3 linked regions of the Tribolium castaneum genome follow. The protein of the gene in region 2 purifies or fractionates together with the protein of the main gene of each other region. This does not show direct contact. Links are inferred from orthologs where the notes say so. Each region holds a gene or a part of one and is shown on either strand. Other genes may lie near its edges.

Region 1 (5,274 bases), on a different chromosome or scaffold from region 2:
ATAGTTTAAGAACTAGATCTGCACCGACGACTCGAACGTATCACAGTGCGGTTTTACGCGGCCATCAAATTCGCGGAGATTCGGATGGTAAGTAACGAATTTCATGGCGTTGTAAAATAGTGACTGTAGAATTTTGCAGCTTTAAATGCACACGGGTAACAACTTATGCGATTTAAAGCTTAGGCCCCAAATGTAGAATCACTGTGATAAGTTACGTAGTAGTGCAGAATCTCTTAAATAAATCAGTATATCACCCTTTTTTAGTATAAAAAAGTCTTCAACAGAAATTTAATTCTTCGGAAAGTACGTTGTTTAATATTTACAGTTATCAGTGATATTTCGTAACACACCGCGTTACTTGGCGTTGTCTTCTGGAGTATCTTCGTCGTCTATTAACTTGGCCACGTACAACTTGGGATCGATCACTTTCGGGATCGGCTTGATCTCCGTTCCCAACTCTTGTTCAATGCGATGAAGCGCGAATCGATCATCGTAAGTAATCAAGTTGATGGCAATGCCCAAGTGCCCAAATCTTCCAGATCTACCGATACGGTGCAGATACGTCTCTGCCATTTTCGGGAAGTCGAAATTGATGACGACGTTGACGGCTTGCACATCGATACCTCTTGTAAACAGATCAGAACAGACTAGATTTCGGCAGAGACCAGCTCGAAAATCATGGAATACTCTGTTGCGATGCGCTTGAGCCATCTTGGCGTGAATGTAGTAGCAGCAATAACCAAGTTCGGTGATTTTCTTCGCCAACAATTCGACACGTTGCGTGGAATTGCAGAATATTATGCTTTGGTTTATTTGTAACTAGAAAAAAACTGTCAGAAAAAATAAACCAAAATACCAAGAGCCCAACCTTTGAAAACAGAGTATTTAAACAGTGTACTTTCTGACGTTCTTGAACGAACGCATAGTATTGCGTGACACCTTTAAGAGTGAGCTCCTCCATGAGATTGATCTCGTACGGATCTCGGAGATGTTTTCGCATAAACTGCTCAACTGTGAGAGGAAACGTGGCGGAGAACAACAGTATTTGTCTCTCTTGCGGTAAGTTCTTTATCACAGTGTCGAGCATCCCCTTGAAGTCTTGTGAGAGAAGCTTGTCGGCTTCGTCTAAAACTAGAATCTTGCACTGGTCCATTACGGCGACACCCTTTTCCATCAGATCGAGGATGCGGCCAGGCGTTGCTATAATAACTTGTACTTTCTGGTAGATGCGCATTATGTCATCTCTTAAATTTGTTCCACCGGTCGTTACCATCACGCGCACGTCCAAGTGCTTAGCGAGCTCAATGCAAATTTGTGACGTTTGAAGCGCGAGCTCTCGTGTAGGCACTATGATCAGTGCTTGAATGCAGTCTTTCTTGGGATCGATCTGTTCCAACACGGGAATACTGTACGCACCGGTTTTACCTGAAGACCAAAGCATTCAATAATTGACAGCCAATTTTTAGATTATGTCTGTAAAAGTTTGGCCCTCTTCTTTGTCTTTTTTTATTATAAAAATATTGATTTGTAACTAATTTCCAGTTTTTGGTATATCTGATATGATATATGTATAATGATAAATGCAATAAACAGTATTACATCCAAAAAAGATAAGCAAACAAACACAAGTGAGCTAGAGAGGTAATGTATTTCGAGTACATAACGAATACAAGTAAACAAGGTCACCCAATTTACAATAGGCAGTGAACAAATAACGATGATTTTAACATTTCTGGTGTTTGTCTGTGTCTCGGTTCGAACTACCGCTTATGTAGTGAAAGAAAATATAAAAAAAAACACAAATTAATTTTTTACATCGCGTGTTTTTTAGAATAGGACAGTTTAATAATAACACGTATTTTTTGACATCACAAGTAAATTAGTAAATTAAGAAAGTACAATCAGAATTACAAAAAAGAGAACGTTTTATTATTGACTTGATTGTTAAAAAAATTTTGTACAAAAAAGCTCAATTCTGCGAACTAAATTACCAAATAAAGTAGCTTGACTGATTTATAGCGCCCACTTATTCGAGCTGGTATTTCATAAGCGCAAATTACTGTATGTGATTTTTTGCGTCATATTCAAAAATAAATATGACTATTAGCAAAAATCAAGCCATTAGTTTTGCATATTTGTCCCCCCATCCAATTATTGAGTAACAGAACAGGCTTACTAAATATGCACTAAACATTGAGTAAAAAACATACCTGTGCCATTTTTTGCCCTTGCAAGAATATCCTTGCCAGATAACGCAATTGGAATAGAAGCTTCTTGGATAGGAGACGGTTTCTCCCACCCTTTTTCAAAAATACCCATTAATAATTCTCTCTTCAAGCAGAATTCTTCAAATTCATTTCCCCTGGTATCAGTCACATCCTAGTAACAAATACTTGATAAAATAACGGTAACACCTTTTTTGCACGAATGGTGAAAGAAATGCATGAAATCAGGCAAGACGTTATCATTTATAAGAAAAATGAAGGGGAATCCATAGTGTCATCATGTTAATAATGGAAAGCTTTGAATATTATTCCCGGTTTAGACATGCAAGTGACCCAAAGCCTTCCAAGTGACCGTGAACGTACAAAGCAGTGAGTTTTAACTTACACTGGTCTGTATTCTCCTATCCTTGGGTGGAATCTTCAGTTTGGCTTTCCATCCCATGTCATCCATTTTGGTGTCAATATCACTGCAAGGAAGCGGTTCGTCACCGCACATTCTTAATGATAAGCAAACAACTTACACTTTGCCTGACAAAGCCATCACATGGTTCGAATTCAATGTGTCCGTCATCATAATTGTAGAAAATACTATTGCAAGTGTATTAAAAAATAGGGTTTATAAAACCCAAATCTTCTTCCTCTACAATGTGTAGGATAAGTACAGTTCCTAAGATCCCTCACAGGAACGATAATAATCTGCAAAATCCCAGTTTAAACATCAATGACGCAGAAAATTTAAGGTCAATACGGAATAGATATAACCACAAAAATAGAACATCCCGTAATTGTTGCAGTGTCAATAATAGCCAGGTCATGAACATTCACTGGCGATACGGAAATAAAACCCTCAAAAACGGCCAAAAGTTCGACGATTGCAACAAATAAACAGGATTCAGATTTCTAATTAAAATGGCTACTGATTCTTGTGTACAGTGCACCGTCGACTACACATAAATTATTGCACAACGACGCAAATTTACCTGATTCTGGACAAAGAATTTAAGGAATACCGTCGAGACACCCTGGGAAATACTCAGACATTGCTCATAATGTGTGATTTTTGCATCAAATCGCTCTTTTCGAATAACTTTTACCACTGATATGGACGCTTTACTCACCAAAAGGAAAATGACTTTCAGCAATTAACAATGGCCGCGAATCTGCAATGCCAGGATGCTCCGCTAACCAAAGGACAACCCGTGAGATGGCGCGAGAAACAATCGGAAAAAATCAAAGAATTTTTGAAATTTTTGGCCAAAAAATACAATTTTTTTATGGCAGTGATAACAAAGCGCCCCTGATAGGGTCCGTCTCCTTCAACCATAATAAAATTAAGTAACCACTCATGTAAAAAGCTCACAAAAAAGCGTTCAAATTGCGCGCACCACCTTGTTCTCTTCTCACCACCCACAGCACCACCTTGTTCTCTGGCACCACCCACAGAATAACAGGTTTTACAGAAACGCATCTGTCCTTGTCCCGATAGAGCGAAAGTGTCACTAGCACATCTATTGTTGCCAGCGCGTACTAAGCGTTATCGGCGGGCGATTTGAATTGCCCGTAGTTACTTTTCTTTTAAAGTTTGATTGCATTTTTCGTATTGTTTGTAAATATTCACAACAATAGTTGCTAATAACACTTTCTGATGTTAGACAACTATTGTTGCTGAATATTTACAAAGAATACGAAAAATAAAATATGAGAATAAATAAAGACAATAAACTTGTAATAAAAATTTATTATCACTAGTCAATATACACGATACGATAACTATAAACTAATGATTGATCCATCAAATTATTTATATTCCCACAATAAAAAAGTTCAAAAAAGCACACACACGAAAAAAACCACAAAACAGTACTAATTTCACATAAAACAAAGCCGAAGGCGAACACCAAACAAACCAAGCACAAAATGGCGATTTACACAATGGCAACTGTCACAGGTCCACTGTTAATTTCTGCCGATATTATAGGTAGCTTCGCTAAAATTGACTATACGTGTGTGCGACATCTGCGATAGCAAGCCGAACTACAGTCGATTTTGAATTTGGCGCCTATACTTGGCTTGGTGCATTTAGGTTTCACCACCCTGGCACCACCTTTTTCATCCATGATTTGACAGCTATTTAACCTACAATTTGTCGGTCATTTTAATAACAAATAAACAGAATTTTAGCAAAAAATTGAGATTTCGGTAATAACTGTATTGCCGCATTTTTGGAGAGTTACATTTTGCAATAATTTTCAGTATACGTCATGACTGCAAGCAAGGAGGTTTTTGTCGATTTAGAGGAAAAATTCAATAAGGTCCTTAAGTTACTCGAGGACAGTAAATACGACCCTGAAAATCAGCCTTTCGTGTCGAAATATGCGGCCAGCGAGACCCTAGTCAGCATGAAAGCGAGTCTAGAAAATGTGATAGAAACTCAGCCAGACAATGACAAGATAAAACTAACAGGTGGTGCCACATTGTTGTAAATTTGCCTGAAGGTGATAATTTTAGCAATGTTGGGAAGTGTGTACCTGTATCTTGGTATGACTTCAATTGCCACTGAGGAATTATCGACTGGGGAGGGCTATTTGGCAAAGTGTGAAGACCTGATAAAGGATTGCACAGAGGAGCCCCAAGTGGTTATGGTAACATTGAATATGTACAACCAGTTTGGGATTTTGTGGTCGCAAAGAGAGCCAGAAAAGTCTAAAACTTACCTCGAAAAGGCTGAACGGTTGTACGCGACTTACAAGAAATCGAACGTACCACCAGTTGACATAAAAGACTTGTTTAACCCAAACTTCGAACTAAACGACATTGAAACGGCTTGGATTAACTTTGAGAAAGTTTACACTTTGACAGTGTACTACTTGGCCCAAATATACGGGGCGTTGAAAGACGCATTAAAAAGTGCAGTTTACTGCCACAACACTTTACAAAGACAGTTGGATAGTGGTGACTATGAGTCCATAGACTGGGCTTTGAACGCCGCTACACTGTCCCAGTTTCTCATGGAACAGAACGGTTTCAAACAAGCGAGACATCACTTGGC
Region 2 (4,085 bases):
AAAATCGCGTCGCCTTTGAACCTCATCTAAAACACACACTTAGCGCGACATAACCTCACTTCCCGACTTACTTTGAAACAGTCTTGGAACCAATTTGTAGACGATATCTTGTAAAGTTCTGTCTTGCCTGATGTTAAGCAGCGGTTTCGACTTGTGTACTTGCACATCGCACACGGGACAGTACTTATTCGCCGCCAAATACTTAACGATGCAACTTCTGCAAACTTTGGCACGAGTTAGCCTTGCTTCTAGCGTTTACCTCATACTTACAAGAGTGCAAACACTCGATAATCGTGGTGGCATCGACGAAATAACCCTTGCACAGTTTACAAATCAGGTGTTGGTTCAGATCGGTGATTTGTGGTTTTTTCGCTCGGTGCATCGTCCCAAGCTATCCCATAAACCTCCTTACATGATGGTACGGGGGGTTCGCCATAATATGCCCATATTGTTGGCGCGCTGACCTAAAAAGCCCCACGTCGCGTCCCAGCGCCAGACCAGCGTCCCGGCTTCGGCAAAACCATCGAAAACGCCACACCACCGAGCAAATGCCACCAATTTTCACAAATATTTTTGTTTACTTCTAAATTAATTATTTGACAGACGGACCTTGCTCACATTTGACAGATGGAGCGAAAATGGCGTCACCGATTTTCACCAAGAATTTTCCAATTCGGCCGGTTTTTCCACCACTTGCCCGCGGCCCTTCAAGGTTTCCACAAGTCGGGGCGTTTTTCGCGTGGAAAACTCTCGCAAAACGGGAGACACAAGCGTCGGAAAATGCCACCAAATCAAACGCATTAGCTCGCAGTGCCAACCTGAAACACTAAAATCACTAGGGAGGGGATGCAAGTCCGCCTGGCTTTTGTACAATTTTATTGTTTCCTTAAGAAAAATATTTAATACACCGATAATAAAATTGATAAACAAAACAAAATAAAGAAACGGAATCGTCTACGATTGGGGAGAAGAGCAAATGATAGTAGAAACGGAATCGTTGGAGAATACTATGCTGAAATTGAACTAAAATAATTTAAGGGGGCGGGTTTATTGTTGCGTGGTGTTTTGAACCGGCGTGGTGTTCATTGCTAGGTCCTTCATATGCTTCTCCACGACCTTCTTTATATAATTATACTCTTTGCTTTTGGTGTCTCCTCTGATATTCTCGAGCTGGTAGGGTGGACTTATGATCACTTCCTGGTTCCAGACCACGATCTCAGAGTTCCTCCACCTCACCTCTTTTATTGTTTTGGCGATTGCTATAAATAAACTCTGGCCTTCTACTGATACGTTTGCTGAAATTGCTTGTAAAATTCGGCGTTTTTTGTCAACCTGGTTCCGCACTCGCGTGTTTAGCTGCAAATCAATAGGTTCAAGCACGTTCCCAATCGTGGCAAACTCACCCTTTGCAAATTTAACGACTGGGGCACTTCGGGCAACGAAGTGACTTCTTTTTTCACCTGTAACTCACTAACCAACGAAAGGTTGACGAAATGAACGTCGTTTAGTTTCGAATCACCGCTCGTCGATGGGCATTCTGGCCGCAATTAAGGAAAAACATGACTCGGGCCGACTTAACCTAATTTAGATTGGGCAAAGTTTCAGTGTGAAAAGGATACTCAATATGAGGATTTTGACTTGGGGGTCAAACGCCATCACCTCCCCTTCGATTTCTTTGTTATAACATGTCCTGCACCACACTGTACTTCCTATTGAAAAATAATCTAAAACGGCAGCCATTTCGCTAATACGACCACTGTTTTAGTTACTTTCGTTTGCGCGATCTAGTGACATACACTGCTGGCTGTACAGGGTGCAGCATTTAAATATTAAAAAAATTATATCTTTACTTTTTTACAGAGAATTTAATAATGTTATCAGAGGTTTATTTCAACCATTTGTTTAACCGTAATAACAAAGTTTTGTTTTTTTAAATATGAATCATAGTTGGCTATGACATTTTCGAAAAGCTTATTTTTTCTGATTTGATGTGTCTTTTAAATTTTAAACATTTAAGAAAAAACAAAACATTTTGCTTTTTCTTTATAGTAGGCCATGAAAAATTTTTGGATTTTTAATAAAAACTATGAAAATTGTATTACCCAACAAGTAATTTAATGATTTTTTAAACCCTAATTAATTCAAAAACAGCATAATAAATTTTTATTAGACCAAATTTTTGCAATTAATAAAAATTATTTGTTTTTATATTTAAAATGGCCAGCTCACGTTGTCATTCTATATTTTCCAATTTTAAACAAGAAATGTCGGATGAAGAAAAAGCTTATTAAATTGTATGATTGCACATCAATAAAATTTTATTTTACAAAAAAATGTCAATCCAAACACCAAAATCAAATTCCATCTGCGGTAAAAAAATACACAACATTATCAAGTCACCTCCATTACACTTCACTAAATCGTAAAAAAGTGTCATCAAATGGAGTGACACATCGTTTGCAATTTTCTGCACATTTTTTATGTAATTAAAATCTGCGACGCTCGTATATTTGTTCAATTGAAAATAACTTTAACATAGCGTATTTTTATAATTTCACATTTTTTACTTTAATAGCCGTTCACAATATTTCTAGATTATTCACACCTTTTATGTGAAATAATTTTTCCATGGCCAACTAGTTTCAAATATTTTAAATATATTTTTTATCAAAAATAAATAAAAATATCAAACTATATTTATATTGTTTTGAGTTCAGAAAAAAATTAGCTTTTCGAAAATGTCATAGCCAACTATGATTCTCATTTAAAAAAATACAACTTTATGTTATTACAGCTAAACAAATGATTAAAAAAATTACTGATAACACTATTAAATTCTCTGTAAAAAAGTGCCTGTATAATGTCTTTGTTTCAAATGTGTATCTTTTAAAATAAGGAAGATATGATTTTTTTAAGATTTCGCTAAAATGTCAACTTTTGTTTATAAATCGAAAACAAAAGACGATAGCAAAATGCAGTTTTGACCAAAATTATTCACTCAAAAAACGGACCACAGAATGTGTCACTCGTTTTCCTCTAAACCCTGTACAGTAATATACGGGGTGCGTCCAAAAATCACAAGACCCGTTTCTTAAATTTAAATTTATTATCTGAGATACTTTGTACATGCTTATTTAATAGTTAATTAATTATAATTGTTATTGTAATTAATAAATATTTCTCACTGTTTTCTTAAGTTATATAATTTCTAAAATATTGCGTTTTATTTTACATTCATAGTTCCATAACGCTATTTTTCCGTTTTTGTTGTTTGTTACAGCTATTGAGACGAGGCCGCAGAGCCTCCCGAAGCAAGTCTAATAATATGCCTACAAGATTTCAAGTTGTTGAACACACATTTTAAGTCGGAAATTTGTGTTTTAAAATTCGAATTTTCCCCAGGCGGGAAAATTTGAATTTTAAAAACACATCTTTCGCCGCTATCACAAAAATTTGGCTTATCATAGCTCACATTTCAGTTTGTATTTTTGTATTCGGCGTTTTGGGAGCCGATCAATCGTGTATTTAAACTACAGCTAAATACTTTACGACTACGAATTTTATGCACAACCGTTTTTAGAGCATTTCTTTTTTTTGACAAGTTTTTTGATTATTATATATACAAACTAAAATTGACAGAGTTTACATATTGCTCTTGTTTTTGTGAGGGGCGGGGCATGGGTGATCTTCCCTAAACCTACTTATAAATTAAAAGCTACGTTGGCCAATAACGCAACGAAAACGCTTTCTTCGATAAAATTTCCAAACATCAACAAGTATATCAACTAAATAGGTATTTACAAATGTTTTGTTTGTTTCATTTTAGCGTAGATTTAATAATACAGGTACTTTGTTAATATACTTTCAACAAGACTCGGTTGCTTACCCGCAACGGTAAGCACAATTAACTAAATAGTGTAATTAGTTTTGGCCAAAAAATTCTCGATTTATGAACTATGACACCTAAATATCTACACTACTTAATAAATTACTATCTTACATTGCTACAATCCTTACGACTAATCCTAAAATACTTCTTTGGAAAAAAATCATTCATAATAAATTTTAGGCTCTTTTGAAACATT
Region 3 (5,546 bases), about 5.6 Mb from region 2:
ATCATAAAAATTATGCTCGCATATTTATTAGATCTGTCAAAATTTAGTTTGTTAAACAACATTTTTGACTTTTTTTTTAAAGCACTCTTTGCAAAAAACGCTTTTTTCTTAATTTTAATTAACTTGTAAGATTTGATCATATCATGTGGTACATCACTGCAATCAGGAAGAAATACTTTTCAAAAATACAAATGTCAAATAAGAAAAACCAAAGTTGACTGTTGTAACTCTGACATCAAGAGCGCCTTGGACAAGACAATGACAAGTTTAGATGTTTTGTAAAACGTGCCTGAAGAATGTCGTGCTTAAAAACGTATAGTTCTTTTAATTTTAGCTTAAAAAAATAAAAACAAAAATTTCAAAATTTTGATTTTTCCCAATAATTCAAAAACTAAAAATAACTCATCAAATTTTCTTTGAGATAATTGTTCAGCATAAAAATGCGCAACTTAGTCCTGATTTAACCAAACTTGTATCTCTTATAATACCTGAGGTCCCCATGGTGGAGCTCGAATAACGGACACCTTATCTTTAAAACAGTAAAAAAAATTGCATTATTATTTTTTAGCAAAGATACCACCGAATTTCATTTCCTATTAACTATTAATCATGTAAACTTTAGACAAAATGTACTCAAAAGACGCAATCCTAGTTAATATTACGTGTTTTGTCAAATTTTTGCTGCTTTGTTATTATCAACACCAAAATATTCATCAAAGTTCGTTATAAACGAAAAATTGCACCACATTTTAAGTCAAATCTACTTCGTTACCGTTACCGGAAGTTCGTTATAACCCGTCTCCACTGTAGTCTATTGGCAACTTAGAACGGAAAAAGTGTGATGCGTGTGACCATTCGAATTGTTAGAAAAAAGCCAAGATTTATTGTAATTGTAGCACATTGATTAGGTCGCTTTATCTCTATTTACTTCAATTGTAAATAGTCGAAAACCTGTTTGCAACACGGGGTCAGACGGACGATTATCACGTAAGAAGTATCACCATAATGAATGAATGCAATAAAAAAACGACATGAAAAAGCCTTCACGAGTGTTGTGAAAATAAATAAATAAATAAATAAAAAAGATATGCAGTGATAAAACGCTTCAAACAAATGATAATTTCGGTTTAATTTAGTGCAGTCAGATAGTTGGCTTTGTTAAAATTGTTAAAGTTTTGTTAAATGTTGCTTAAATTAACGTATATTTGAATTTGCTTTTCAATGTTGCCAAGAGGTTTGATAAAAACAAGTAAAACAAAATTTGTTTTTCTGTTTGCCTCATTAAGTCTTATTAACTTATTAAGTTTTGACAAAAATTCAATTTGATTGAACTGAAGTGTGAACTGTCAACTACGGATGATGTTTAAATTTCCCGCTATATCACAGAAGAATAATTTCAAAATTACCCCCCAGAGAACGCCAGTATTAGTTTTCACAAATTATAATTACTAAAAACATATCTTTTGTACAATTAAATGATAAATAACCATGTGTCCGTACTTTTCGTCATTAATTTTAAAAATTACGCATCAACAAAAAATATAAATATAAAAACTGTAACAAAATAAAAAATGTTGCTAGTGTTCTATTTAAAAAAATGTCCCATATACAGGATGATTCAAAAGTGACAAACTCTCATATAGTGTTGAAAGACGTTCAATTAAGCACAAAAATAAAGTAAGATTTTTTTTCAAACAATTTTTAATTTGTTTTCCTTAGCAACGGTATCGATTTTTGCTCTTTTGTTTCCTATGATATCGAATTTAATTTATTGTCGAATTAGCAAGTTTTTTAATAGTTTTGTACATCATAAGAAATTAATTGTTGTTTTTTTTTTTCAACAGGTATTTGTTTGATGTTGCAAAAGCTGTCGTTTCCGCTAAAGTTAAAAAAATTAGATCTGAAGCACCAAAAACATAACTCAAAATTTAACTTCAAAGAGCTCGTGAAAAAAGGCTTTGTCATAGGAACTTTTAATTCAGTTTGATGTTCTTTATCAGTACTCGAAAGATTGTCCGGTGCTTTTGAATCAGACACCTGTATAAATAGATCATTTAAATTACAAATTCCTGTATCTTTTTACTATAACATAATCAAATTTCGTCTTAACTTACTGTTAAGTCCAAAAATCTTGTTAAATATTTATTTAATAATTATAAGTATTATCGGTTCACATTCATAAAAACCACTTCCTAGTGTAAATTGTTTATATTTTGCCTGTGTAAGTCGGTCTCTAAATGAGCGCAAATGTTTCTAGTAATTTCTAGTGAGAAATTTGTCAGAATTGACAGTGTCTACAAAAATAGGTTAGAAGCTCTGAAAGTTTTTAAAGTCTGCTAATTATTCACTTAAATCAAATTTGTGAAGTTGTGAAAATGGTTCAAAATCAGGGTATTAAGACTAATATTTTGTTTTAATAAAAAATAACCAATTTATTTCAGTTCTTTACTGCGCTTGTACCAGGTGTCAAATTTTGAAAGCGAATTAGTACTGCCAATCGGTACACTAAAAAAACTGTAAGCACGGGCGTACCAACCTAACAACTCTACAGCTGGTTGTTATCCATATGAAAATATAGCATGTCGAAAATTTTTTTAAGATTTTGTAAGTTTTGTACGACATCCTTAACTAGATATTTTTAAAAAATCCGGAAATAAATCTCTTTAACGCTAGAAAAAGTTTTTTGATCTATGCTGACTTAGACTAGACACGCTATGATAAATTTCTTTTTTCCCAAAGAAACTTGATAATTTATTAGTTTTACGAAGAATTACTCAAAATTATTATCTCAGTATCTGACTACTTGATTATCAAAAATCAAACTGTCCATTGATTAAAATTTGTTCTTGAAATTGTTTGTTTTGCTAACTTTTCCAGCTTGCTATCAGTGACAAATAATGAAAACATTCATGTCTTATTACTTTCACGTCCAACTTTTGGAACCTCCTTGTATATTAACAGTCATAACCTCAAAGCAATAAATGCCAAAATGACAGTTGACAATTCCGTCAAGTGCAACAACCCTGCATAAAACAAAACATAAAACACCAAATTGGAGATTCGTAAAAAATTAATGAGGTCAATACCTCTGTTTTGGTCTTTAATTCGGCAATTATGTGAAACTAGTTGTTAGGGCATTGAACCTTGAAAAAAGTAAAAGCATTTTTCGCCATCTTAGGGGCTTTTAAGACCACCATAAGCAAAAAAATTGTCAAAAATCGCCAAACACCACATGATTGTCAAATGTCAAACAATATTGTCAAAATTGTCAATTTTCAACGTGTTTCGGGAAACGTCCCATTTTTGATGGATTGCGCTGCGTGGACAGCCCCCTATACTAACCTCAGCGGCCCTCCCCTGTTTTTCCTCTTGTTGTTCATCTCACCGTTACCGTGATGGCCGGTATGGTCCTTATTTCTCGTCGGTACCGGAATTTTGGAGTCGTTGAAAGTACAACTGCTCGAAAAAAAATATTCACGCGGTACGTTCGCGGCCCTCTAACAAAGCAGGCAGCTCCAAAGACACCTAGAAGCGCACAAAATGGCTCAGTGACGTAATCACTGCCACTGTCGATTTTACCTCTTCACATTCGTGGCAGACGGTACCGTAGGCGGTGGCGTCCTCCTCGACACACTTCGTTCGAGACCTGGTGCTTGGATGGGTGCTTTAAAAAACCGATTCCTGTGATAACAAACAATTATAACACAGCATTTGCACAAAGTGTTGTCTGTCAGAGTGACATGGACAAACTGCGCATGCGCACAACACACTTCGGTCATTGCTTCTTTCCTCTAGTTTGGTTTATGGCGGCAAAATTGGGATCAATAAATAAGGGCCTGCGCCACAAGGGACAACTACCTGTTGGTGGTGGCCTAGTTTACGGAGATTTCACCAAAGGGCTTTTTGCACGAGAAGGTGAGTTTTGATGTGTGTGGGTGCATATGCAATCGAGAGGGTACTGACTTATTGCCAACCTGACAGAAATAATTAACATATTTTGATTTTGAAATAAACTAATAATTAATTAATAAAAATGCGCCCCAGATGTTTTGCATTCCTATTTACTTGTACAAAATAAATTAACAAAAATCAGAATCTTAAAGCTCTAAACCCTCTGGGAATTGGTGCATACAATCTTTTTTTGATATTTGTGTTTTTTATAAGTGTAAGCTGTTTCAAAACTATGAAAACGCCAACGTTGCATTTTACCAATTTATTTTTTTTATATTAAATATTAAAATTGTTATTAATGCTTAGATCTCTCATTGAAAGTATAAATTACATTAGCTATTATTTTTTTATAATTCATAACAGCTAATTTTGAGAGAAAATGCGACACTGGCGTTTTTATGGATTTAAAACAGAAAATAAATGTAGTTCCAAGAAACATTCTTTATTGAAAAAATTGGCTAGACATTTTTTATTAAACAAAATGTTTATTAATGGAGTTGACACGAATTTATGATATCGGTGCAATGTATTGAAAATTAAAAAAAATATTTCATAAGTAATTCAAAAATCTGCGCCAACGTCGCATTTTCTCTCAAAATTAGCTGTTACAAAAAATTATTGCACTCCATGTCACATTTAAATTTTTTGCTGTATCATATTTTTGTAATTACAGTATTTTTTTTTTTTAATAAACAATGGAGTGTTATACTCAAAAGTAAAAGTTTTTGGAAATTGCAGATTCTGAAAGTAGACACACAATGATGTCCAGTAATGTTGGTCTGAGGTTTTTTAAATCGGTACTTTTTTAGTAATAATCGAAAATTTGCGCTCTGACGTAAGCAATGTCTCGACTAATGATTCGTCAGTCTTTCGCGGCATACAATTAACGCTACGACCTACGTTTGGGTTGGTAAACGTCAAATACAAATGTCAAAACCGTGCGTTGTCGATTATGACTGTGTTGTGTGCTAATATTTGGCAGGAGTATGTGTTTTGGTAAAATGACTGCTCCTGCAGCACATTTGAAGTCGTATGTAAAACAACGGAGGCAGAGATAAAGAATAGACATACGTCTTTTAAGCTATCTTTGTTGGCAAGTTTTCTATCTCTAGTTCTGTGACTGGCTCATTCAAAAAGGAACATTGCTGAACAGGCCAGGAATTTTCACCTTTTCAATTATTTTTCTCCAAAACGGTTGAGCTTTGGTTAAAATAAAAAAATATGGGTCGCCTATTTTGTTGTTGGCTATCCATATAAAAATTTAAATTTTTTAGTATAACTCCATTGTCAGTGTCAAAATAAAGAAAAATAACACGCTGTATCACCCTAAAACATTCAAATACAGACCAGGCTGTGTCATGATTTTCCCCTAAACGACTTTTGATAAAGAGTCAGTCTTGAAATGTAAATAGCAATAAATACGTGTTTTCATATTAAAACCAATTTAATAATAGCAAATAAAATCAGAACTATTTAAAGTCGGAATCACAAAAGTCCCGTCCTCAGAATCATCTGAATCCGCCGACAATTGTATAATAATTGGAGGTATGTCTTCAAGTGGGGAATTGCCCATTAATTTTGCCCAGTCCTCCCGA

The links.
Region 1: the proteins of protein LSM12 homolog A (region 2) and me31B purify together in Homo sapiens (affinity purification with mass spectrometry; 5 studies listed by BioGRID and IntAct, with this or other methods). This does not show direct contact. The link is inferred for Tribolium castaneum from reciprocal best matches to the Homo sapiens genes LSM12 and DDX6.
Region 3: the proteins of protein LSM12 homolog A (region 2) and ataxin-2 homolog purify together in Homo sapiens (affinity purification with mass spectrometry; 4 studies listed by BioGRID and IntAct, with this or other methods). This does not show direct contact. The link is inferred for Tribolium castaneum from reciprocal best matches to the Homo sapiens genes LSM12 and ATXN2L.

The regions. Positions count from the first base shown.
Region 1 is NC_087402.1:3,103,006-3,108,279, reverse strand, and holds the start of me31B (ATP-dependent RNA helicase me31b), read right to left. Parts: upstream 3,479-5,274; 5' UTR 3,344-3,478; exon of another isoform or gene 3,206-3,343; intron 2,922-3,205; 5' UTR 2,800-2,921; coding exon 2,747-2,799; intron 2,693-2,746; coding exon 2,611-2,692; intron 2,380-2,610; coding exon 2,211-2,379; intron 1,426-2,210; coding exon 869-1,425; intron 820-868; coding exon 355-819; 3' UTR 1-354. Other genes in the region: KIF-binding protein, read left to right, coding at 4,487-4,688, 4,734-5,274.
Region 2 is NC_087401.1:13,582,176-13,586,260, reverse strand, and holds protein LSM12 homolog A, read right to left. Parts: upstream 1,781-4,085; 5' UTR 1,741-1,780; coding exon 1,620-1,740; intron 1,538-1,619; coding exon 1,404-1,537; intron 1,357-1,403; coding exon 1,048-1,356; 3' UTR 860-1,047; downstream 1-859. Other genes in the region: polycomb group protein Psc, read right to left, coding at 1-26, 72-224, 271-382. UniProt on the Homo sapiens protein: Nicotinic acid adenine dinucleotide phosphate (NAADP) binding protein. Confers NAADP sensitivity to the two pore channel complex (TPCs) by acting as TPC accessory protein necessary for NAADP-evoked Ca(2+) release.
Region 3 is NC_087401.1:7,995,426-8,000,971, reverse strand, and holds the start of ataxin-2 homolog, read right to left. Parts: upstream 3,479-5,546; 5' UTR 3,381-3,478; coding exon 3,343-3,380; intron 1-3,342. UniProt on the Homo sapiens protein: Involved in the regulation of stress granule and P-body formation.